2 linked regions of the Caenorhabditis elegans genome follow. The protein of the gene in region 2 interacts with the protein of the main gene of each other region in a pairwise test. Each region holds a gene or a part of one and is shown on either strand. Other genes may lie near its edges.

Region 1 (12,315 bases), on a different chromosome or scaffold from region 2:
TATTTTCAATTAAACAAATTGTTTTAAAAAATTACATCTCTAAAGTTTGTCAGAAACTACTTTCTATGCTTGCTGAAAAAATAAACTTTCCCATAATTTTCCACTGCAAATAGTTCAGTTTGAAACAACCTAACCGCTTTGAAAGCAATAAGGTTAACTATTTTTTATTAGAATCATCTTGTAGATTGAAAAAATGAACACAGACCCCTTTTCCATTTCAACTTTTGAAGTACTTCTGCAAAGCTACAATGCAATTTGCTTCTAATTAGTTTTCGATTTCCCGCGTTCTCAAACCAATCAAGTTCGAATTGTTTACTTGGTGTTCCCATAGAAAGTTCAAAAGTTCATTTTATTTTCCCGTATAATATGTACACTTCTCTCGGTCAAAGGAAAAGAGAACGCATAAGTGCCATCATTCCGAAGAAGGTCACCGTGATTGTTCTTTCGACAGGACAATAACTTTTCTGGATAAAACGGGTCTAAATAGGTTGGAATCTTGCAATAATCTTGGCGGTAGAAAATAAAAACACGGATTTTTCTGATTTTCCAACCACTTTTTTATCTTGCCACAGTTGCTATAATTTTCAGAATCTCGAAAATGGTTTCGGCAGTTTTACTCGAATTAAAAAAGTCACCAAACTATAGAGAAAAATCCACAAAAATTATATATGGGGCACGACAGAAAATGCACGCTATGCAATTTGCAATATTTTCAATGATTATTTTATCGAATTATTATTTTCACGGTTTTTCTTCCATAAAACATAAAACATACCAAAAAGAGGTTTCCTTCTACTACCTTATTATAGATGACTACAGTTACTGCACAGGTGTCTTTTTCTCAGATTACAATCTCAATTGGTGTCATCGACATAGCCTTTTACTTTTTCTGGTGGTTGACACTGTCTTACCAGATTTTTGAGCTACAAGGCAATTTGGAGAAATTTTTTTTCTATTTTTTTGTTTCAGTTCACGTTTGACTTTTTAGAAATGCGGTTTTACTTTTTTTGAAAATCTAGCAGTTATAGGATACCTCTCCGATTTATCCCAAAAAGTTGCGTTAATCATGGAAAGTATCACCCACAATTTCTAAATTTATAGGCAGGTTTCAAGCCAGCCTAGATTTCAATAATTATTGTAACTTACTGAGAGATAAAGCATAGTTTTTAAATGCTTTAGTGGTTACTTTTAAATTTTTATCTATTCGTCTTTTTTTGATTGAAATATCAATTTGTAGCGGTGGCAGGCTGTTAAGTTTAAAATTTAGTAGCAGCTGTTTTCAGTTGTGTTAGTTTTCACTAAAGTTGAAAATTGCTCGTAGTTTGATTTTTTTTGTGACTTTAGTTTTATTTTCACGTGTTTTCATATAATGAGTCATCAAACAACACAAGACATTTTCTATGAAATTTATGAGACCTGATATTTCAAGCCGTTTCTGAGAGTTATTTACATATTCAAATTATTGAATCCTGATTGCTTCTGTATATTTTGTTCAGAATTTTTTTTCAGATTGTTCTAAAAACTATCGGGGAACTATCGCAACTTTTACCACAAAATTATTTTGGAACTTTTTTACTATTAGTGACAGTGAGATCTACCTTGGGATTAGGTTAAGATAATTAGGATAATTAGAATAAATGAAGATAACGAATAACATATGTGGAAGGTAGATCAAACATGATCTTTGTAAAAAATTGCGATACTTGTTTCACTGTAGTAGTTATAGCGTCTTTTCTCCGTTTGACCTTTGGATTTTGCACCCAATTGACATGTATTTTTTTCAACTGATGTGACGTCACATTTCTCATGGGCACGATTTTCCCGCACTTTGGGACCTGAGAGAGACGGACTATAGACGATGCACTCTATCAGTTTAAATTTCAAGAAAATTGAATTCTTGATAGAACCCAACTACATTTCCGTGTTGTACCCTTATGCCTACTGCCATCTTCTTTTTTTCTGCCAGCAACAAGTAAAAACAGAAGAATCGAGTCAAGATATGCGCAACGGGGATACACAGACAACGAAATTGTGTCAGAAATAGTGAAGGCATAGAAGAGGCCAACCGGGTACGCGTGGCTCCTCTTCAGCACTTTCTCTCTCTCTCTCTCGCCCTTTTCCATCTAACAGCTTTTTTGCTTTTCTATGTTTGTGTGTCGTTTGATTATAAATTAGGTGTGCTTTTGAGGAAAACATTGGATTGAAAAGAACCTTAGAGATTGATCAGGCGGGAGGAGGAATGAAAATGAAACATTAGAGTGGAAATAGTATATTTTTTCAAAACACAATCATATCAGATTTTTGTTATAAATTAATGAATAGTTTTTAAATCCCCATTTCTTAAAGAAAATTTTATGAATGCTCCACATATCTTATATGCCTCTGTAAACATTTTAAAATTCCGTGTTCACAAGTTTAGAGTACAAGAAAAGTGTCTTCAATAAAAATTGAACTTTTTGTTTCTGCTGTGATATCTTTCACGATAAAATCTTTTGAAAAACCATCGCTTTTATAGTACTAGAGGTGTTAATAATTGACGGTTTCAAGGCTAAGATCACGCGATTCTTTAGTTGAATTTGTTTTTTGATTGTTTGGACTGTGAGATTGTAATTTTTTTAATCTTGTAAGTTTTTGTGCAATGAAAAATGCCTTAACGACTTTCATATAAATTTCTCTTATTCCTCTTGTTTAAAATGTCTACCACAAATTTTTAACAGTTATAACTAAATTGGGCAAAATTTGTTATTTCAACTTTACAAAAAAAATTTAACTTTTTTTGAATACTCTCTGTAGACGCGGTTTTTTTTTCAGAATTATGGTGGCCACCTTTTCAATAAAAAAAAATTATCTGAAAAATGCCATGGTCTCTCTGACCTTCGGCCCACATTGTATCTACGGATTTCATTCAAATATTTGCGGTTTTTTTTGACCGCTTGATCAAACTAATGAACTTTCATCAATGCAAACAAAATTTTTTCGCCAAAAGCAAATGACTAGCCAACTTTTTTTTTCTGTTTATGTTCAAATAGTTCAGTGGTTTCTTGTTAATTAATTATGACACAGTTTTGGTCACAAAATTTGAGCGTTTTTTTCGCTGAAACAATTGCACAAATCTAATACAAAACATTCTGATATCACACGCATCAATTTGGCGAGATTTCAAAAAATCAAACTGAGATGAGACCAGTGAAAACAAAAAATATATATGAGTCATCTAGAAAGTGATCTATACATTTTGTAGATCTTTTTTTAAAAATTGTGATGTTTGAGTACTTACAATGTAGGTCTACCACTTATTTTTTCTAGTTAGCTCACTATTTTATGCTTAGCATAGGTCAAACTACCCTTATAAAAAAAAACAATTATTTAGGTAAAAACGCTTGAAGTTCTTTTTTTCCTTTGTTTTGCACGAGAGGTTTTTTGTAAGTTTCTTATCAATCTCTTTTTTCAGTAAAAAAAGATCAAAACATCAAACCGAGGTCATGTGCACTCTCTTGTAGCTCTCTACTTGTTCCCTCATTATCTTATTCCCCCCGTCTTCTCACTTGTTGGTCCAACTACGCTCAACTTATCGATTCTTTGCAGCGAGCACTGCCACCTCAACACACTTTTAGCAATGAAATAGTGTGCTGGGCGAAGAGACGCAGACACACGTACGTAGTTTAAGAGTGAGCGAGATAGAGTGTGCGTAACGAGAAAAAGAGATAGAAGACGAAGAAACAAGTAGTGGTTTGGTTTCGATCTTTTTTTTTTAATTTGGGATATTTTTATTTTTATTTTCGAATTGTCAATTATTATTATTAATAGACTGTCAAAAATTACTTTTAATACCCCGTATTTGAACACGTTCTTTTTTTTATTTCTCTTAAATTGATTCCAAACAAGTTCCTATTAACACAATTCTTTTCAATTTTCTTTTCGAAATCATAATATTTTTTAAAAGTTAAATCTGTGGTTTTTTGGTTTTCCTTTCTGAATATGTTTTTACTGAAAACACCAAAAAATCTTGACAGTAGCTCAAAATATCAAGCTTTACAATTAAAGTTTTTCTCAACTTTTTTTTTCCCCTATAAACACAATCTCCCTTTATTCCCAAAAATACCACGAAACATGATATTTCAAAAAAAAAAGACAAACAGGTTTATACCACAGTTTGTACCTTTTATTGTCCATGCTGGTATTGTATTTCCTACTTCTTTGCCGCCCGGTTTTTCCTTGTTGTTTTAATTTTATTCCAAAACTCAATTTTACAGGTAATCAAATTGTAAAGGAAAAATATTAATAGTCAGAGTACACATAAATGGGTGATCATCATAATTTAACGGGTGAGTTTTTGTTTTATTGAAATTACTTTATTTTCGGAATGTTATTTAAAAAAAAGTTACAGTTTGAATAAAAAAACAGGATCTTCTGTTTCAGTTTTGAAAAAAAAACCAATTCCATAGTCCATATCCCAACTTACAGGCCTTCCCGGTACCTCCATCCCGCCACAGTTCAACTATTCTCAGCCCGGTACCAGCACCGGAGGGCCGCTTTATGGTGGAAAACCTTCTCATGGATTGGAAGATATTCCTGATGTAGAGGAATATGAGAGGAACCTGCTCGGGGCTGGAGCAGGTTTTAATCTGCTCAATGTAGGAAATATGGCTAATGGTGAGTTTAAATAGTAGCTATAGGAGTGAAGTGTTTGGAGTGTCGTGTTGGATATAAAATATCAATTAAAATAGATTCGAATTATTCAGAAAATCGCTTATTTTGGTAGTAGAACAAATGTTGATAAGTTAACAGACATCTTCTTTTTCCAATTAGTCTTGCACCCGAAGTGACTAGTTGGAAAATAGCCTTGCAGTTTCTATTAATTTTGTACATACTAATCTAGTACATTTCTAGAGAAAATTTTAGTATTTTAAGGTGGCAACGAGTAGTGCGGAACTCAAAATTCTCTTACATTCTCTTATATCTACTTACATTGAAAATTAATTTTGCACTCAAAAAATACCAAATAAAAAATAGGGTACTTGTTCCCGCTATTTTTGAAATTAATCAATTTTTCATTAATTTATCTATTTAAATTAAACTTGATATCTATTTTCTTCGTTGGGCTCAGGAATGGTAAATACGAGTTTTATAAGTTTTTATTTTATAAGTTAAAAAATTAATTTCTAAAATAGCGGAAGCATAATACACAAGTACCAAAAATAGTTATACATGCAATTTTGTCCATAGAATACTCTGAAACAACCTTGGTATTAGCTGCAAAACTGCAACATTATCAATTTAAAAAGGTATTTCTAATTGCAAATAAAATCGTAGCATTTCTAACAGTTGCCTAATTCTCGCTTTCTATTTTCAAATTTCAATTTTTTTTAAACTTTCAAGTAATGCAAACTCTGTAAAACACTGAAATCTAGTGAAAACCAAATCAATTTCCCTACGTGATTAGTAGTCGTGGTGTATGGTGGTTTGTGTTGGTTTGATATGCTTATTTTCCTTTTTGTTTTAAAAACCTTCCCCGTTTTGTTGCTTTTTAAATTTTACATTTCAAACTGAAATTCAGAATTTAAACCAATAATCACATTGGACACGAAACCACCTCGTGATGCCAACAAGTCATTGGCATTCAATGGCGGGTTGAAGCTAATCACTCCGAAAACTGAAGGTAAATAACGTCGAACATAGTAGTATAGCTTGAAAATAAAAAAAAACGTTGAATATGATGCATAAATGGTGCAATAGAAGGTTCAAAAGAATTTGTTGCCAACAAAAAATCTAAAATTTCAACACGAACCTCATGATGTTTACCGTCTGGCAGTCACTAACACACGTATTGATAAGCGAATTGTTGCCAAATTTCGTTGCTTATCAAACCTTATTTCTCTCTGACCATGAAGCTAATAGCAACTTCTCTTCTAGTTCCCGACGAGCACACACCGATGATGTCACCAGTGAATACAACTACAAAGATTCTACAACGGAGTGGTATTAAAATGGAAATCCCGCCATATTTGGATCCAGACAGTCAGGATGATGACCCGGAAGATGGTGTCAACTACCCGGATCCAGATTTATGTAAGTGGCAAAAAAAGTGTGAGCAAAAGAACTTAATATATTTTCAGTTGACACAAAAAACACAAATATGACCGAGTACGATTTGGATGTGTTGAAGCTTGGAAAACCAGCAGTAGATGAAGCACGGAAAAAGATCGAAGTTCCCGACGCTAGTGCGCCGCCAAACAAAATTGTAGAATATTTGATGTATTATAGAACGGTAAATACTTAAGTTTGTAGTACTGATTACAATATTGCATTTTCAGTTAAAAGAAAGTGAACTCATACAACTGAATGCGTATCGGACAAAACGAAATCGATTATCGTTGAACTTGGTCAAAAACAATATTGATCGAGAGTTCGACCAAAAAGCTTGCGAGTCCCTGGTGAAAAAATTGAAGGATAAGAAGAATGATCTCCAGAACCTGATTGATGTGGTTCTTTCAAAAGGTACAAAATATACCGGTTGCATTACAATTCCAAGGACACTTGATGGCCGGTTACAGGTGAGATCAAAAAAAATTTCTAGGACACATTTTGAGCCTATAGACATTAAATTATGATCTTTCAACGAACCTACGCTAGATAAATGATCCGACTTTTAAAAGTTTTGGAATTTATTTTGAGACGTTTCATTATGAAACTTGTATTAGACCAGCTTATGATATCAAAGTACCCACAAACTCCATACAAATTACAGGTCCACGGAAGAAAAGGTTTCCCTCACGTAGTCTATGGCAAACTGTGGAGGTTTAATGAAATGACAAAAAACGAAACGCGTCATGTGGACCACTGCAAGCACGCATTTGAAATGAAAAGTGACATGGTAGGTGAAGTAAGTGTGAATTGTTTCATTTTTCCTTTGATGTGATGTGGCACATGTTAGCTTCTTCCCTTATTCGGTTAACTCTGTGACCTTTGTTTGATTAAGTTGATTGCCTAATGTTGAGAAGATGTGACTTTTAAAAGTTTTAATATGAATATTAGGCCTTACAGGTATGCGTGAATCCCTATCACTACGAAATTGTCATTGGAACTATGATTGTTGGGCAGAGGGATCATGACAATCGAGATATGCCGCCGCCACATCAACGCTACCACACTCCAGGTCGGCAGGATCCAGTTGACGATATGAGTAGATTTATACCACCAGCTTCCATTCGTCCGCCTCCGATGAACATGCACACAAGGCCTCAGCCTATGCCTCAACAATTGCCTTCAGTTGGCGCAACGTTTGCCCATCCTCTCCCACATCAGGCGCCACATAACCCAGGGGTTTCACATCCGTACTCCATTGCTCCACAGACCCATTACCCGTTGAACATGAACCCAATTCCGCAAATGCCGCAAATGCCACAAATGCCACCACCTCTCCATCAGGGATATGGAATGAATGGGCCGAGTTGCTCTTCAGAAAACAACAATCCATTCCACCAAAATCACCATTATAATGATATTAGCCATCCAAATCACTATTCCTACGACTGTGGTCCGAACTTGTACGGGTTTCCAACTCCTTATCCGGATTTTCACCATCCTTTCAATCAGCAACCACACCAGCCGCCACAACTATCACAAAACCATACGTCCCAACAAGGCAGTCATCAACCAGGGCACCAAGGTCAGGTACCGAATGATCCACCAATTTCAAGACCAGGTACGTATGATTTAAAAAAAAAACAGTTGTTGTAAGGAGAAAAAGTTATTCTGACAGTAGGCATGAGGGTTGAACTAGAGGGACGCCGCAATTGCAAGAATTGTCGATTGCCGAAAATTTCCGACTTTGAACGGATGTCGGCAGGATGTGCCGGTCCGCTGTCAGGGTGGGCGGCAATTGCCGTTTGGCAATTTTTTTTGTCCACAAATTCAGCAAATCGCCGGAAATTTTCGATTCCGGCAATTAGCCGGTTTGCCGATTTGACGGAAATTTTAATTGAAGCAATTTGCCGATTTGCCGATTTGGCTGAAAAAATCGTTTGCCGCTCACCCCTGGTTTGGTGTTCCAGCCGAGAGCTAATAATTTTAGTCACTCAGCCACACAATACTGCCACCTATCAAGGCATGGATTTACAAAGGTTTAATATCTCCAGGTGTCAAACCAGAAACGGCAAAATATTATTTATGGGTACCTCATTATATAAAGGGGTAGAATATAAGTAGGCGGACAGGTGCATAGCCAATTCCCGCAGTTTAATCCTTTTTGGGATGTCCATTAACAGAGCCTTATTTGAATTTTTCTATTGGATTTTCGCCCTTTTCCGATGAAAACGAAGCGTTTTCAAACTTCACTAAAAGTGCAGCTTTTACAATTTTGACTAAATTGCTCTAGAATTAAGTATGAAAAAATTTTATGAATAGTATTGAGAGTTCATATTCTTTCGCAAAATAATCAAGAAATCTCTGCAGGAAATTTAATGTTAAGTTTAATCCTTATACATAAATTCTAATATAAGTACTTGATAATAACGAGAAAGGATGAAGCCCCTCAAATATTTGCCTTTTAAATTTGCACGTAGGTTTGAAAAGGCATCAATTTTGCAAATTTTTTTTTCGATAAACATTTTGCAGTTTTTTTATTTTAGATCTCATCAAAATATCTTCTTCTGGTAGACACATGTAATTTATTTGAAATTGATTGGAAAATGCCAACTTACAACATTTTGAAAAGGTGTCCTGCCAATTTCATATCAGTTATCAGATTTATTTTCTAAAAAAATAGCCAAGTTGAGACCACGAGGCGTATGATTATAGTTGTATAGTCGGTGATTTATTGCATAAAGAAGTTGGTTTAAAAGCAGTGATTTTGATTCTCAAAACTCATTTTTTTAGAGATTTTCTACAGCCGCTTTGCGAACAATTTTACTTTTCATCATACATGATACATTTTTTTGTCGCCTTTTCAGTTCATTCCTAAAATTTGTAAAACTTGAAGTAAACTCAATTACAGTGTTACAACCATCAACAGTCACCTTGGACGTGTTCCGTCGGTACTGTAGACAGACATTTGGAAATCGATTTTTTGAAGGAGAAAGTGAACAATCCGGCGCAATAATTCGGTCTAGTAACAAATTCATTGAAGTAAGTATTTCTAATATGTAGCTACTATGTACGTGTCACTCAAGATTGACAGCTTATCGCATATAAGTTGTGTCGATAAGGTGCCAAACAAAATATTGAATTTAATGTCACTTTTTGCTTTCTGAATCATCAAACAAACGATTTTTGTTTTTCATTCAAGAATATTGTGTTTTTTCTAGGAATTTGATTCGCCGATTTGTGGTGTGACAGTTGTTCGACCGCGGATGACAGACGGTGAGGTTTTGGAGAACATCATGCCGGAAGATGCACCATATCATGACATTTGCAAGTTCATTTTGAGGTTCGTTCTAGTTTTCATGGAATTAAAAGCCAAGTATTTTTTAGGCTCACATCAGAAAGTGTAACTTTCTCAGGAGAGGGGCCAGAAGTTAGTGATTGTAAGTTTCTTTTTTTTCTCTCTAAAGTTCACTTTAAAAAATCGTGTTAGTGATTGAAAACAAAATGAGTAATTATGTATTATACCCCGCCAACATAAAATTAAATTAAATTTTCATTCATAACTTTATTTAAATTAAACGTGATATGGATTATCTTCTTCAGATTTAGAAATGGTTATCATCAAGAAATCTTCCACACGTTTTCATGCTTTATTTCTTAAAAACTTTCATTTAAAACGACGGGGATATAATACATAAATACCCAAAAATGTAAAAGATCAAGTAAATTTAAAATGTTCACAACATAAAAAAAAACTGCTTGCTTTTTTCAGTGAACGAAAAATGGGGAACAATTGTGTACTATGAGAAAAATTTGCAAATTGGCGAGAAAAAATGTTCGAGAGGAAATTTCCACGTGGATGGCGGATTCATTTGCTCTGAGAATCGTTACAGTCTCGGACTTGAGCCAAATCCAATTAGAGAACCAGTGGCGTTTAAAGTTCGGTAAGTAAATCTGAAACTTATTGATATATTATAGAACATAGGTACAATTTTTTTTACAATCCAATTTTTTGGGCAATGACAGTATCAGGGTAACAATCCAATCCAAATTCGGAAATGTTGTTCGATAGTTTCCAGCTTATGAATTTTCTAACTAAAGAAATAACACAAATTTTTAAAGCTTTTGAACCATTGAAATGTTTCAGTAAAGCAATAGTGGATGGAATTCGCTTTTCCTACAAAAAAGACGGGAGTGTTTGGCTTCAAAACCGCATGAAGTACCCGGTATTTGTCACTTCTGGGTATCTCGACGAGCAATCAGGAGGCCTAAAGAAGGATAAAGTGCACAAAGTTTACGGATGTGCGTCTATCAAAACGTTTGGCTTCAACGTTTCCAAACAAATCATCAGAGACGCGCTTCTTTCCAAGCAAATGGCAACAATGTACTTGCAAGGAAAATTGACTCCGATGAATTATATCTACGAGAAGAAGACTCAGGAAGAGCTGCGAAGGGTAATTTTGAGTGTAAGATTTTGTTTGAAGTTATAAAAATATATTCAGGAAGCAACACGCACCACTGATTCATTGGCCAAGTACTGTTGTGTCCGTGTCTCGTTCTGCAAAGGATTTGGAGAAGCATACCCAGAACGCCCGTCAATTCATGATTGTCCAGTTTGGATTGAGTTGAAAATCAACATGTTAGTTTTTTTTTTTCAAGGCCCTTGTGGTCCCATCAAAATTTTTGAAAGTTGGCTAACTACCTTTTGGGCCCTAGGACCGCCAGAATAATTTCTTAAATTTACGGGTCTTATTATCAAGCTTCGGTACAAGCATAATATCGCGCAGTTTACAATTCATGTATAGATTGAAAAACAATATTTTTTACTCTTGAAACTAAATTTTGTTTCGAATTTCAACATCGACAGCTTATAGTTGCCGTTTGACTCATTTAAAAACTATCATCTGAAAAATATTTGCTAATTGTTCTCTATCGTTTTGAGTTGATTGTTTATGGATATGCCTCTCGCCTCATTTCTGCACTACATCGAGAAGTAAAAGACTTGGTTTTTACAAAAAATAGTGTGAGAGACGATTTTTCAACGCGCAGCAGGCGGAAGCCCGCCGCAAGACGGGCATGGCAGGCGTTCTTGCGCCCTAAAGTAAAATAATCGGGGTACTAAAACTCCTATTACCTGAAATACGGTATGTTAGTAATCTAAAGTAGTTTTATAAAAAATCCCATGTTCATTAAAAAAATCCCAATGTGTAATTTCAGTGCCTACGATTTCATGGATTCAATCTGCCAGTACATAACCAACTGCTTCGAGCCGCTAGGAATGGAAGATTTTGCAAAATTGGGAATCAACGTCAGTGATGACTAAATGATAACTTTTTTCACTCACCCTACTAGATACTGATTTAGTCTTATTCCAAATCATCCAACGATATCAAACTTTTTCCTTTGAACTTTGCATACTATGTTATCACAAGTTCCAAGCAGTTTCAATACAAACATAGGATATGTTAACAACTTTTGATAAGAATCAAGTTACCAACTGTTCATTGTGAGCTTTGAGCTGTATAGAAGGACAATGTATCCCATACCTCAATCTTTAATAGTCATCAGTCACTGGTCCCGCACCAATTTTTTCGATTCGCATATGTCATATATTGCACCGTGGCCCTTTTTATTGTAACTTTTAATATATTTTCTTCCCAACTTGTGAATATGATTGATGAACCACCATTTTGAGTAATAAATGTATTTTTTGTGGACATCATGTTTAAATAAAGAAAACATAGGCAGTTTGTTAGGAGTTAAGTACACTTTCTGGTAAACTTAATGCCCCTTAAACTTAAATTACAGACAGAGAACTTATAATTTTCAATAGAGAAAAAAACAGACTTTCAGCGATCGGAACTCACACCAGCTACTCAACTACGCCTTTTTTGGTAAATCTTCTACAATAAGAGCCGAAGGTTCAAAAACGTAGTAAGCGTTTATTGAGTGAATAATACAGATATTACACAAAACTTATGACAACTTGCTTACAATTTGTGGAAAACAGTAAACTTCATCGGAGCAGACGCGCGAGACAACTTTTTGACAATGGTTTTTGTGATGTTGCTACCAGATAGCGCCGGTTCCGAATAGAAACGTTTATCTAAATTTTAATTAATTTGATCTTAAATTTAAGTTTACGAGCTTACCGTTGTTAAGAACTCCCAAAGCTTGATTCATCGCTTTCATTTGATGACTGAAGCCACAATCAAACGAGAAAGAGCTCAT
Region 2 (11,181 bases):
TTTTGGAAACTTTATTCAGAAAATTTGGGCAATTTTGGACAAACTTATCTTTTAACTTTTAACTCCAGTTACCAAAAAATGTCAAAGTTGCCGAAATTCTGAATTTCGGCAAATTTCAGCATTTTTTGGGGATTTTATCATATGCTTTAACTCCAGTTACCTGCAAAATTTCTGATTTTTTGGAAACTTCATTTAGAAAATTTCGGAAATTTTGGACAAACTTATCTTATAACTCTAGTTACCAAAAAAAAAATGTAAGTTATCTGGAAATGACTAAATTGATAATTTTGGCAATTTCCGAAAATTTCTAGAACCCTCATTATCTAAGAATTGTCAGATTTTCAAATTTAGGCATTTTTTCTGCAAATTACCAAATTGCTGAATTTTTCCAATTTTCGAAAACTCTATATTTTTGAGTAGTTAGAAAAAATTAATATCTCAACCGAAAATTTATCCACCTTTTGCTAAAAATTTTTCCTTATCTAGAACATTTTGCCTTATCTAGAACACCATGTACATGGGAAATCCGTAATTTTCAAGTCTTAAAAAAGTTTAAGTGAAAGCTGGTAACTTTTCGGTCAAAAACTGAAGAATAAAAAAGTTGCAAAATCTGATCCATATTCTCACCAACTAAAAAATTCCTCTCAGAAACCTGTCCACTTACGATGTAAGAAAGAGGCGGAGCCTAATTTCGCTTTCTCTGAGACGTTTTTATCAAGGGCATTTTATCTGTTATCAATGAGGGGAATATTTTTGAAGAAAAATTTTGAAACCAGTAATTTTTAAAAAAGTGAAGTTATTGTGTAGGTACAAAAGTGGCTGTTAGCCTGCCTGCCTACTGGTCCTACCTCCATGTTTGCCTTCCCGTACCTGTCTACGCCTACATTTCTGCCTAGATTTGCTTACGCTTTTTAAAATGAATTGATGTACGCCGTGAACTTATGTAGAACTATGTAAAAATGAAATTTTAAATTAAAAATATTTAACATTATTTAGTTTTAACTCGCCAATTTATTCTGAAAACCAAAAAGATGACTAAATCAGAATCGGAAGAAGAGGACAAATTTAAGCCTGTGAGTTTTATTGGAAAGTTGGCACTTTAGCTTCAAAATGTCTTACAAGTAATCCTTCCTTTGTGCCAGCTTATCGTCTTGCTTGAAATTGCCTGCCTGCCTGCGTGTTTAGCCTCCCCGTCTCCCTACATATGCCTACCTACTTACTTACCAATGCATCCACCTAGGCCTTCTGGCTACTTTGCCGTTTTGCCTACCTGCACGCCTAGCTAGTAGCCTCATATTTTTGTGTTCTCAATAAAGTGGTCTTTCAGGGAACCATAATCAGAAGCCGTGAAGCCAAATACGTGATACTTAGTCAACTCTTTGACGGTACTATTGTTGGAGAGTACTTGGTAAATGATATCGCAAAAAAGCAATCGTTCACAATGAAAATCGAACAAACAGAAATAAGACGCAATGAAAAGCTGAGAATGGAGATTTCTGTTTTGAAATCGGTGGATGGCGGTGAACACTTCCAGAAAATTGTGGATCGCAGGAGAAAAGACAGAGATCATTTCTGTTTTTTGGTTTTGCAACAAGTTGGAAAGTCATTGGCTGATTTGAAAAAAGAACGAGCTGATAAAGTATTCTCATCTGCTACTGGGCTCGGAGCAGCACGCCAGTGTTAGCAGGCAATTGAAGAGTTGCATAAGAAGGGATTCGTTCATCGTGACCTGAGAACTGGTCACTATGCATGTGGACTTGGTGACAAACGGCATAACATTTATCTTCTCAACTTTATATTCGCGCGGAAGTATGTCAACTCCAACAATGAGCAGAAGTCCGCAAGAAGAGGAAATGTGGGGTTCAAGGTGAGCGTAGTATCTAACTCTATTAGTGAAATTGTTTCTAGGGAATTTCTCGTTTCGCATCGATTGCAAGCCACCTAAAAACTGAACTGAGCCCCAAGGATGACTGTGAAAGTTGGCTCTACACGCTGCTCGGCCTCATCCTTCCAAAAGATGTTCCATGGCGTGATCTCCAGGACTGGAATGAGATTCTGAAAATGAAGCAAGCATGCCGGACAACAAAGCGTGATAAACTCTTTGCTGGAATCAAGCAGAGTAGTGAACTCAACAAGATCCTCGACTACATCGACTCGAGAGTCTATCAAGATCGTGTGGACTACCAGTTCATCTACAAGCTGCTCGCAGATGCTTGTACTACCGCCGGTGTTGACATCAATGCACCGTATGATTGGGAGAGGGAGTCGGAGTAAGAAGAATCTAGTAAGAATACTACTAAGGGTAATAAATACTTTGTCCGAAGTTTAACTTGTGGCGAAAAGTTTTTGAAAAATTTTGACCAAAACTTGATTTTTTCCCCAATAATTTAGTAAAATGACACAAAAATGAGTTATTTTAATGTTTAAGCAGACACACCAGGGGTGGGCGGTAAACGATTTTTTCCGGCAAATCGACAAACGGGCAAATTTCCGGAATTGAAAAATTCCGGCAAATCGGCAAACCGGCAAGTTTCCGGAATTGAGAACCTCCGGCAAATTAGGAAACTGGCAAACTGCCGGAATTGAAAATTTTCGGCAAGTCGGCAAACCGGAAAATTCCGGCAAACTGCCGGAATTGAAAATTTCCGACAAGTCGGCAAACCGGCAAATTGCCGAAATTGAAAACTTAACCTGAGCACTGCAAACGTTTGAAAAAAAAGTTGAAAACTTCCGGCAAATTGTGAAACCGGCAAATTGACGGAATTGAAAATTTCCGGCAAATCGACAAACCGGCAAATTGCCGGAACTAAAAACTTCCGGCAAATCGGCAAAATGTGCCAAAAAATAGAAATAATACGTTCATTACTGAATGTCAAATTCAATTTGCACAAATAGATAGAAAAAACGACGAAAATAAAAAACGCAGTGATACCGTAACTGTTGCTTTGGGATGGAGACTGTCCTGAATCGAAGGGGGGAGTTGGGGGGATTTTGGCTACTCAAGAATGACAAAATACATATTGAACCGGGCAGCATATATATATATATATATTAACAGAAAAAAAGAAGTGATTATTAAAAAGAGGAATTTCGAACCGAAAAGATTATTAGAAATAGGTACAAGTTTTCGAGTAGCAGCATTTGGTAGAGATACATTGATTTTTTAAAGTGCGTATTTTGTTGTGGAGAGGACGGTGTTAACAACAGATAGGAATATGAAAAAAATGGGGAAAAGAGGTACCTAATAGTATGGCAAGTGGCGAGAGAGATGTGGGACAGAAAGAGAGAAAGAGACAGACAGAGAGGTAAAATGAATTTAAAAACAATACGACTAGCGTCATTTTCAATATATGTACATAACCGGGGTGGGGTGCAACAATTCTCACAAGTGTTTTGTACATGAAGGAATGATAGGTTTGGCTTGAAGGAGAAAGGAATACATAATGGAATAAGAAAGATCATCTAATCAATTCTTGACGGTGGTGGTTTTGATAAACTGGGCCAATTGCTCATAGGCACCGGCGGTGAGCTTCGGGTAGAGGGAGAGAAGAGCTGGAGATGACATGGCCGTGGAGAGTTGTTGTTTCTGGAATTAGTTATATTTAATTTCAAAATAGAAATTAATAAGCGCAAATCACAAACTAGTAGCAGTGTATTTTTTCTACACTTTTACGACTTTAAAGGTCTCGCTACGCGCCATCCATCGATTTTTGGAGCGCGTGGCGAGACCATTTTGAATAAATGCGCCCTTCTTTAAAGTCGTGAAAGTTGGAAAAAATACACTGTCAGAGTGTCCCATATTGGTTTGATCTACGTAGATCTACAAAAAATGCGGGAGTTGAGACGCAGAGTTCCCAACTGAATTCGCATGGTTAAGAACGTGCTGACGTCACATTTTTTTTGGCGAAAAATTCCCGCATTTTTTGTAGATCAAACCGTAATGGGACAGCATGTCACCACGTGATGTAGCTCTCATTTTCTAAGATCTTTAAAACGAGCCGAGATATCAGCTTTTCTGTATTTTGGAGTAAAATCAAAGTGTTGGTGTTTGCAGCACAGGTCCAGCGAGTGTGAAGAGACACAGACGTCCCGGGACCCAGGGCGCGGGAGCAAGAAGAGCCGATTTGTGTCGATTTACGGAGGAATGTCTGTGTCTCTTCAACTCTAGATCTACGAGTGCTTAAACGGGAGCTCTAAAAAATTCAACTCCCCATGTATACTTACCAAAAAATCAGAATTCGGCGAGATCGGCAACGCTGCAGGAATCGGCGTAATCACTGGCGCCGGCGTAGAAACCACTGGCGGTGTCACAATCGGCAGAGGAAGCTTGATCCCAGACGCGATCAGCTGCTGGGCTAACGCCACAAAGTTGATATTTCCCAACGAGATCGGCTGTACCGGAGCCGGCTTTGGTTTTGGTGGCGGTGGCGGTGGCGGCAGTGGCGGCAGTGGCGGACGGTTACACAGTACACGTATCGCGTCTGCCGAGACATTCTTGAGCAACGCGTGCTCTCTTAACACGAACTCCATTGGAGTCAAAAGTTTGGCGTCGCGATCGAGATTGGCGAATTGCTCGGCGAGCTGCTGGATTTCTTGTCGCGTGGCTTTGGAGGCATTGTCGAAGTGGCGCATGTTGTCGAACTCTCCTTTGGAAACGTCGAAGTTCGCTGACGCTCGACTCTTAAAGTTCGGATCCTTCATCTTTGCCTTCCATTCTTGCTGCTGCGTGACGACTTTATGTGTGAAATCGGACTCCTTCACCCACAAATTGTATTCTTCAGGCGATTTCAGGAATAAAGCCTCGAGAGCTGCATCGTCCATTTTGTTAAGCTGCTCGATGATGACTGCCTCAAATTTGTTTCTAGGCTTTAGGCCTTTGGATCCAGATGGTCCGAGGAAGTCGGCAATATGGAGATTCTCCATCTTCTTCTTGTTCCTCAACTTGCACTTCTCAATATCTGCATCTCTATCCACAATCTCCTCGCCTTCCTCTTCTTCATCAGCTTCCCAGCCGTTGTCCGCGGCCACCGGCACAGGTGTCTCCATAGCGGGTCTCTTCGGCGGCGCCTGATGCGGCGCAGCTTCATCGTATTCACGCTTGCCAGCTCTGTGCGAGTTCAGGACAAATTTATTCCAGGCTTCCAGGTTCTCATTGGATTTATCGAATACTTCAATAAGCCGAATCCACTGGAAGCTGTTACAGCCGGTGTGCACAAAACCGCTCGGCTTGATCGGATAGTGATGGTGCATGATGAAGTCGGTCGGTGTGAACTTTCCCTCACAATGCTGGCATTCGATGCATCGCATGTTCCGCCGATTCTTGTACCAATAGCCGTGTGTTCCACTCTGCATCACATCCTCCTCCAAGTCATCGCTCTCCAACCATTCGCTGCAGTAGTCGATGAAGTTGACGTGCACAACGTGAACTCGATCGGAGATGTCCCTGGAAATGGCTTTGGTTGTTTTGTTGGTCTAGCTGGTTTTTTTTGTCTTTTTTTTAGTTGAGTTTTTGGCCTTTTGACCCCGAAAACTATTCAGATATTCAAAGAGACTCGAAAGATGATGTCTCTTCTCTCTTTTGAAAAATGAGCTTTGGCCGAGAAATTGTTTTCTTGTCGGGCTCTCTATTTAGAGTGAGAGATGCGTAGGAAGCGCGGCGTCCGGAGCTTGCTTCTAATTAGAGAGCTGCCCCGGCCTCACAGGAGTGTTTATGCTAGTGGAACTTAGGCTCGCCACACTTACCAGTTGTCGTGCTCGGCCAACGTGAGCATGCTCTCCAGGCGGAGCTCGCCCATGATCCGTTCAATGTCCGACCGGCTCATCAGGCTCAGCGATGTGATGTTGAGGTTTTCGCACTCCTTGCTCTTCTCCATGACTGCTCGGAACTGGGATGGCGACGCCATTCGGATGTAGACGTTTTTGTAGCCTGGAAAATTACCTTTTCAGCAAAGTCCTGTTAAAAGGGTCGAGGGTGCCTGGTGTTCCCGAGAGAGATCATGCTAAAAGAAAAAAAAACTTACGAAGCAAATTCTGAAACGACATCTGATCCTTCTTGTCCTTCTTTGTGAGCATATCATCGAGAATCTCAATCGGCAGGTGTGGCTCCCCATCGATGGACAACGCTGGGACACGGACTCTGCAAGAATTTTGAATTTTTTTTTCCGAGGTCTAGACGGAACTAGTCAAACTAGTCGCCTGGATAACAAAATAAAATAGAGTGAACACGCTGCCCTATCGAAAACATGGAAGTGCACCATGTTTTTGTGGAAATATTTTTGCTGTTTTTTAGACGATGACGCCATTGACTTCTTGGTCTTGTGATTGTTTTTTGAAAATAAAACTACGCTACTAGGCTTGTTGTCCCAGACTTCTCGCTGCACCCCCAAAGCTTTACGCTGACCTTTGCTCAGGTTGAAGTGGCGGCGGGGCGAAATATGTGTACGTACAGGATGTGCTCTTTTGAGCTCCGACAAAATGTTGCAGGCTCCTTCTTCTTTTTCTTCTTTTTCTGCTGCAGCTACTCCTCACCCTCATGTGACATTGTGAGGGGCGCGCGCGCCTCAAATGTGAATGCATAATGATTTGGGACCCCTTGGCTAGACACTAGTAAGAAGGAAGAAGTGCGCGGAGAAAAAAGCAATGGGATAGAATGAGGAAGGGGAGAGATGTGATTTTTGGAGTCCCTCTCTTTTTTTTGTGTTGCTTAATGTTTTTTGAGGATATATGTCGAGCAGGTGAAATTAAATGTGACTCATTAGGGGGTTTTTGAGACTCTCGACATTTGGTTCTAGGTTTCGCGATTTTGAAAAAGCGAGGAGATTGAAACTCCGCAGAAATCTAAGCCTAAGCCTAAGCTTGAGACAAAGCCAGAGCCTAAGCCTAAGCTTAATCCTAAGCCTAAGCTTAATCCTAAAAGTCTATTTGTCAGCAAAAAAGAAAAAAAGTTGAAATTCCGTAGGAATCTTAGCATAGGACTAAACCTAAATTAAAGGATAAGGTTAAGCCTGAAGTGAAGCCTAAGCTTAAGCCGAAGCCTAGGCCCAAACTTAAGCCTAAGTCTAAGCCTAAGCCCATTTTTCAGCAGTAAAAGTCTGCTCACCCCAACAACCAAATCCACAAGAATCTCCCCGGATCGCTATACTTCTTCTGATGGATCACAATCCCATCGGCTCGAGAATCCTTCCGCTTCGCCGACGTCGACGGTTGCCCATCATCATCGTCGTCTGATCTCGTCTCCTCATGCAACGCCTTCAAGTTCGCAATCAATGGATCAATGTCCATGAGGTCTGGGGTTCGGTGCTCCGGCTCCACCTGCTGCGAGGAGCCGATCGGCGAGTCGGACATATAGGATCTGTAATAAGGAAATGAATTAGGTAAGGGTGGGTGGGAGGAAGCAGCGAAAATGCAAAATATGTACAGACGAAATATATATTTATCAGAATAACAATGATGTGGCATATTGACACACAGAACACAAATCACATGTGATGTGTGAGGATAGATGAGCTGGCCTGGCGCAAAAATCTGTGAAAGGTGTTAAATGAGGAATTAGACGGCGAGACAGAAACTCTGCTCCGCCCCAGAAGGCGTGTCTTTTTGCTGCTTCTCGTGTGCCCGCCGCTATCCGCCCATTTCGTGTTGAACTCTTGACCATCGACTAGCTGCGAGAGCACAAACAGACGCTATTGACACAATATAGTAAAATTTACTATGCCAGACTTGAGAGCCCGAACATTTTGAGTTTCGAAATGAAAAATAGGAAAAAAAAAAAGATTATCAGAGATCTTGGAGGATTAGGATTAACTACAATAACAAAGAAGAACACGAAAAGTGTGACGGAATTGATGAAGGTGGATATAGTCTTATAGGTCAAGATTTACATATGATCTTACACTTTTGAAAGTTACGAAAAAACATTGTGATTTGGAGGCTAGGACGTCTAGAGATATTTCCGGTAGTAGCCCAGAAATTAGAAAATTGAAATATGAACTTCTAAGAAAATCAGTAAAAAAATGTAGCACCACAAATGTATGTAGTCTAGACCCCCGAAGAAATCGGACGGACATTGCAACATTGGGTTCCTATCGCAAAGCCAAGTGGGCGAGAAAGAAGAGGGACAGATGAAGAGTGAGACAGTGCTGGCGGTAGTAGGTGGGAGGGGGGAGGAGGAACTACGTACGATCTTTTGATTCGTATGGTCTTGTTGGAAATGTGTTTGTATATGCGAAAAGATAGATAGAAGATGGGGTGGTGGTGGAGCAAAGAGCAATAAGTTGTTGTTGTTGCGAAAAAGCTTATAGCTGTGTCGGTGGCGTAGATACAAAAATGTTTTAAATTGGCAAAATGTAGAAAAAAATTTGCTGAACATTTTTTTAGTTGACAACTTTTTTATAGCATTTATAGCAATTGAGATATGGTGGCTCAAAGATGAGACAGCATAGAATTCAAAAAAAGTGCAAAAAGATTGGAGCAGTCTATCTCTACAGGAATAGGTGGAACACAAATTTAATCAACTGGCAAAAGGTAGAAAAAAATTTGCTGAATATTTTGTTAGTTAACAACTTTTTGATAGCTCACAAAGCAACCGAGATATGATGGCTCAAAATTGAAACATAGTAGTTTCAGGTGTGCAAAGATTGGAGCAGCCTATCTCTGCAGGAATTGATGATACAAAAAGTGATCAACTAAAAAATTGTACAAACTTTTTTGTTGAATATTTTGTTAGTAAACAACTTTTTGATAACTTTCATACCCACAGAGATACATTAGCTCAAAGTTGTGACACGAGAAATAAACTTTGGAAATTCAGCGCCACATGACAAACGTCAGCGAAAATTTGAAAGAACACAAAAAACACAATGGCATATAATTATCTATAGATATTACTGCCCAAAGCCGTTCAACTCAAAAAAAATTGTGCACAATTCATGAGAAATCAAGCCAAACAACTGGAAGCTTATGCGTTATACGTGAGGAACGCGTGAGAATTTTCGAAGCCAAAATGCAGATGTATTTTTCCTACATAAACATGAATTTTGAACACCTAATGGTTTTTGAAATTATTATTTTGCTTGAAAATAACAAGAAAAAAAAACTGCAAAAACAAGATGTGACTGAGGGATTAGCGTTATAGACGTTATCAGTGTAGTCTGTGGAAATACAGGAAAAAAAATAATCAGAGAAAGATGTGACTTGAAACAGTTGTAGCTAGGTAGGATTAAGAGATATCAAAAAAGTTACAACTAGCAAAATGTAGAACTAATTAAGGGCTACAATTTGTGAGTTGACAACTTTTTGATAACACATATTCTAGAGGAGATATTGGAGATCAAAGCTAGCTACTTTGAATCAAGAAATACCAAAAAGGTTGTCAACTGGCATAACGTAAAACAGATTAAGAGCAACAATTTGCAAGTTGGTAACTTTTTGATAGCGATTATGTTGAAGGAGATACAAGAGCTCAAAGTTATAGATCACAGAATCACTTAGCAAAAAGTTATCAACTAACAAAATGTAGAACTATAGTTCTACATTTTGTTAGTTGCCCACAATTCGTTAGTGGAAAACTTTTTGATAGCGACTCATTCTAGAGGCGATACGATAGGTAAACGAGGGCTTAAAGATTAAAGACCAGTGTGACACATTTTTTATCAGGAAACAAATATGACACTTAAACATAGTAATTATCCAAAAATATGGAGCTTGGATTCTAAGAGCAAAGTACACACACACACGGTAACCATGGAAATGTTCAAAAACCAAAAGTGCAAAAATGATGGGGGTCCATAAATAAAGAACAAGAAACATACATAAACAACATTCCGCACCGATATTTTCAAATACATCAGCGAGGAAAAGAGAAAAAGAGTGAAAAGTCTGGCGCCAGAGACCCCTCCCGTCGCGTCGTCTTCCACACAAACAGACACTACTAACGACTGCGACCAAACGGCGAAGCGCAAAAAAAAAAAAAAGACGGGGAGAGGACATGTGACCGAACTTTTCTTCCTCGCCGCACTTCTTCAGAGTCTCTCTCTCGTTTTCCATGTTGCTGTGCTAGCAAAGAATGTTTCTGCAGAAGAGGGCGCCGGGCGCCCGCGCGCGTGGATCGTTGAAAAATGTGGAAAGACGTCTAGACGCAGTTGATGGGCTGTCTCGCCTCTTCTATCTCTCTCTCTCACTCTCTCTATCTCTGTGCATCTCTGCTCGGGCTCCTCTTCATGATGAGGTGGGCTAGACGGCATCGTTGTGCACTCTCTCGCTTTGTCTGCTCGTCTATTTCTCGTTACGTGGTTTTTTGTGCTAGATGTCGTTTTTTTTTTCTTGCCGAGCTCACGAGTTCAAGCGCTCGCTGGCTCCGCCTCTGGCGACGAAAGGGTCAAAGTAACAAGTGAGAGTATATGGATAGGCGGAGTTCCGCCGGAAATCGGATTTTGAAGACGTGAGAGTCTGAACATTTTGGGGTGTGTCGATGCACCATGTTGTTAAGAGCTACAAGGTAGTCGATCGAGTGTGGACGAAAGTTTGCGAAAACTGAACAAAGTTTGACAAAAGTTGGTTGAAAGTTGACAAAAGTGGCAAAGCTTTTGATGATAAGTTAGCGAAAGTCAGACAAATTTGTCGAAAGTTTGCGAAAGTTGTCGGAAGTTTTGGAACAAGTTAGTCGAAAGCTGGCGGAAGTTAGAGAAAGCTAGTCAAAATTTGACAAAATTTGGAACAAGTTAGTCAAAAGCTGGCGGAAGTTAGAGAAAGCTAGTCAAAATCTGGCAAGACTTGAAAAAAGTTAGTCGAAAGCTGGCGGAAGTTAGAGAAAGCTAGTCAAAATCTGACAAAATGTGGAGCAAAGTAGCCGAAAGTTGTCGGAAGTTATGAAAAAGTTAGTCAAAATCTGGAAAAATTTGGAACAAGTTAGTCGAAAGCTGGCGGAAGTTAGAGAAAGCTAGTCACAATCTGGCAAAATTTGGAGCAAAGTAGTCGAAAGTTGCCTACAGTAGGCCAAAGCCCATGTAATTTTGCCAAATGTTGAAAAAAGTTCTACTCATGGTTCGAAAGTTTGTCGAAAGATGACGAAAGTCTGAGAAAGTTCAGAAAAACTATTTCTAGCCAGAAGCTACCGTAACCCTTTCTACACATATTCCTCCCTCATTCATTGGACCCTTTCAATTCTTAAGACCTCCACCATCT

The links.
Region 1: the proteins of daf-5 (region 2) and daf-3 interact in binary tests that used the Caenorhabditis elegans proteins (3 or more experiments, as listed by UniProt).

What each region holds. Positions count from the first base shown.
Region 1 is NC_003284.9:817,412-829,726, reverse strand, and holds daf-3 (Smad protein daf-3), read left to right. Parts: upstream 1-4,300; coding exon 4,301-4,325; intron 4,326-4,464; coding exon 4,465-4,653; intron 4,654-5,557; coding exon 5,558-5,659; intron 5,660-5,880; exon of another isoform or gene 5,881-5,885; coding exon of another isoform or gene 5,886-5,913; coding exon 5,914-6,069; intron 6,070-6,116; coding exon 6,117-6,268; intron 6,269-6,314; coding exon 6,315-6,554; intron 6,555-6,748; coding exon 6,749-6,883; intron 6,884-7,035; coding exon of another isoform or gene 7,036-7,044; coding exon 7,045-7,705; intron 7,706-8,995; coding exon 8,996-9,126; intron 9,127-9,305; coding exon 9,306-9,427; intron 9,428-9,471; coding exon 9,472-9,524; intron 9,525-9,856; coding exon 9,857-10,028; intron 10,029-10,231; coding exon 10,232-10,538; intron 10,539-10,586; coding exon 10,587-10,723; intron 10,724-11,301; coding exon 11,302-11,407; downstream 11,408-12,315. UniProt on the Caenorhabditis elegans protein: Transcriptional regulator and common SMAD (co-SMAD), required to regulate entry into a developmentally arrested larval state known as dauer, in response to harsh environmental conditions.
Region 2 is NC_003280.10:14,030,371-14,041,551, forward strand, and holds daf-5 (Ski protein homolog), read right to left. Parts: upstream 7,352-11,181; 5' UTR 7,345-7,351; coding exon 7,100-7,344; intron 6,137-7,099; coding exon 6,021-6,136; intron 5,927-6,020; coding exon 5,743-5,926; intron 5,444-5,742; coding exon 4,225-5,443; intron 3,587-4,224; coding exon 3,467-3,586; 3' UTR 2,850-3,466; downstream 1-2,849. UniProt on the Caenorhabditis elegans protein: Probable component of transcriptional regulatory complex with SMAD protein daf-3. Required to regulate entry into a developmentally arrested larval state known as dauer, in response to harsh environmental conditions.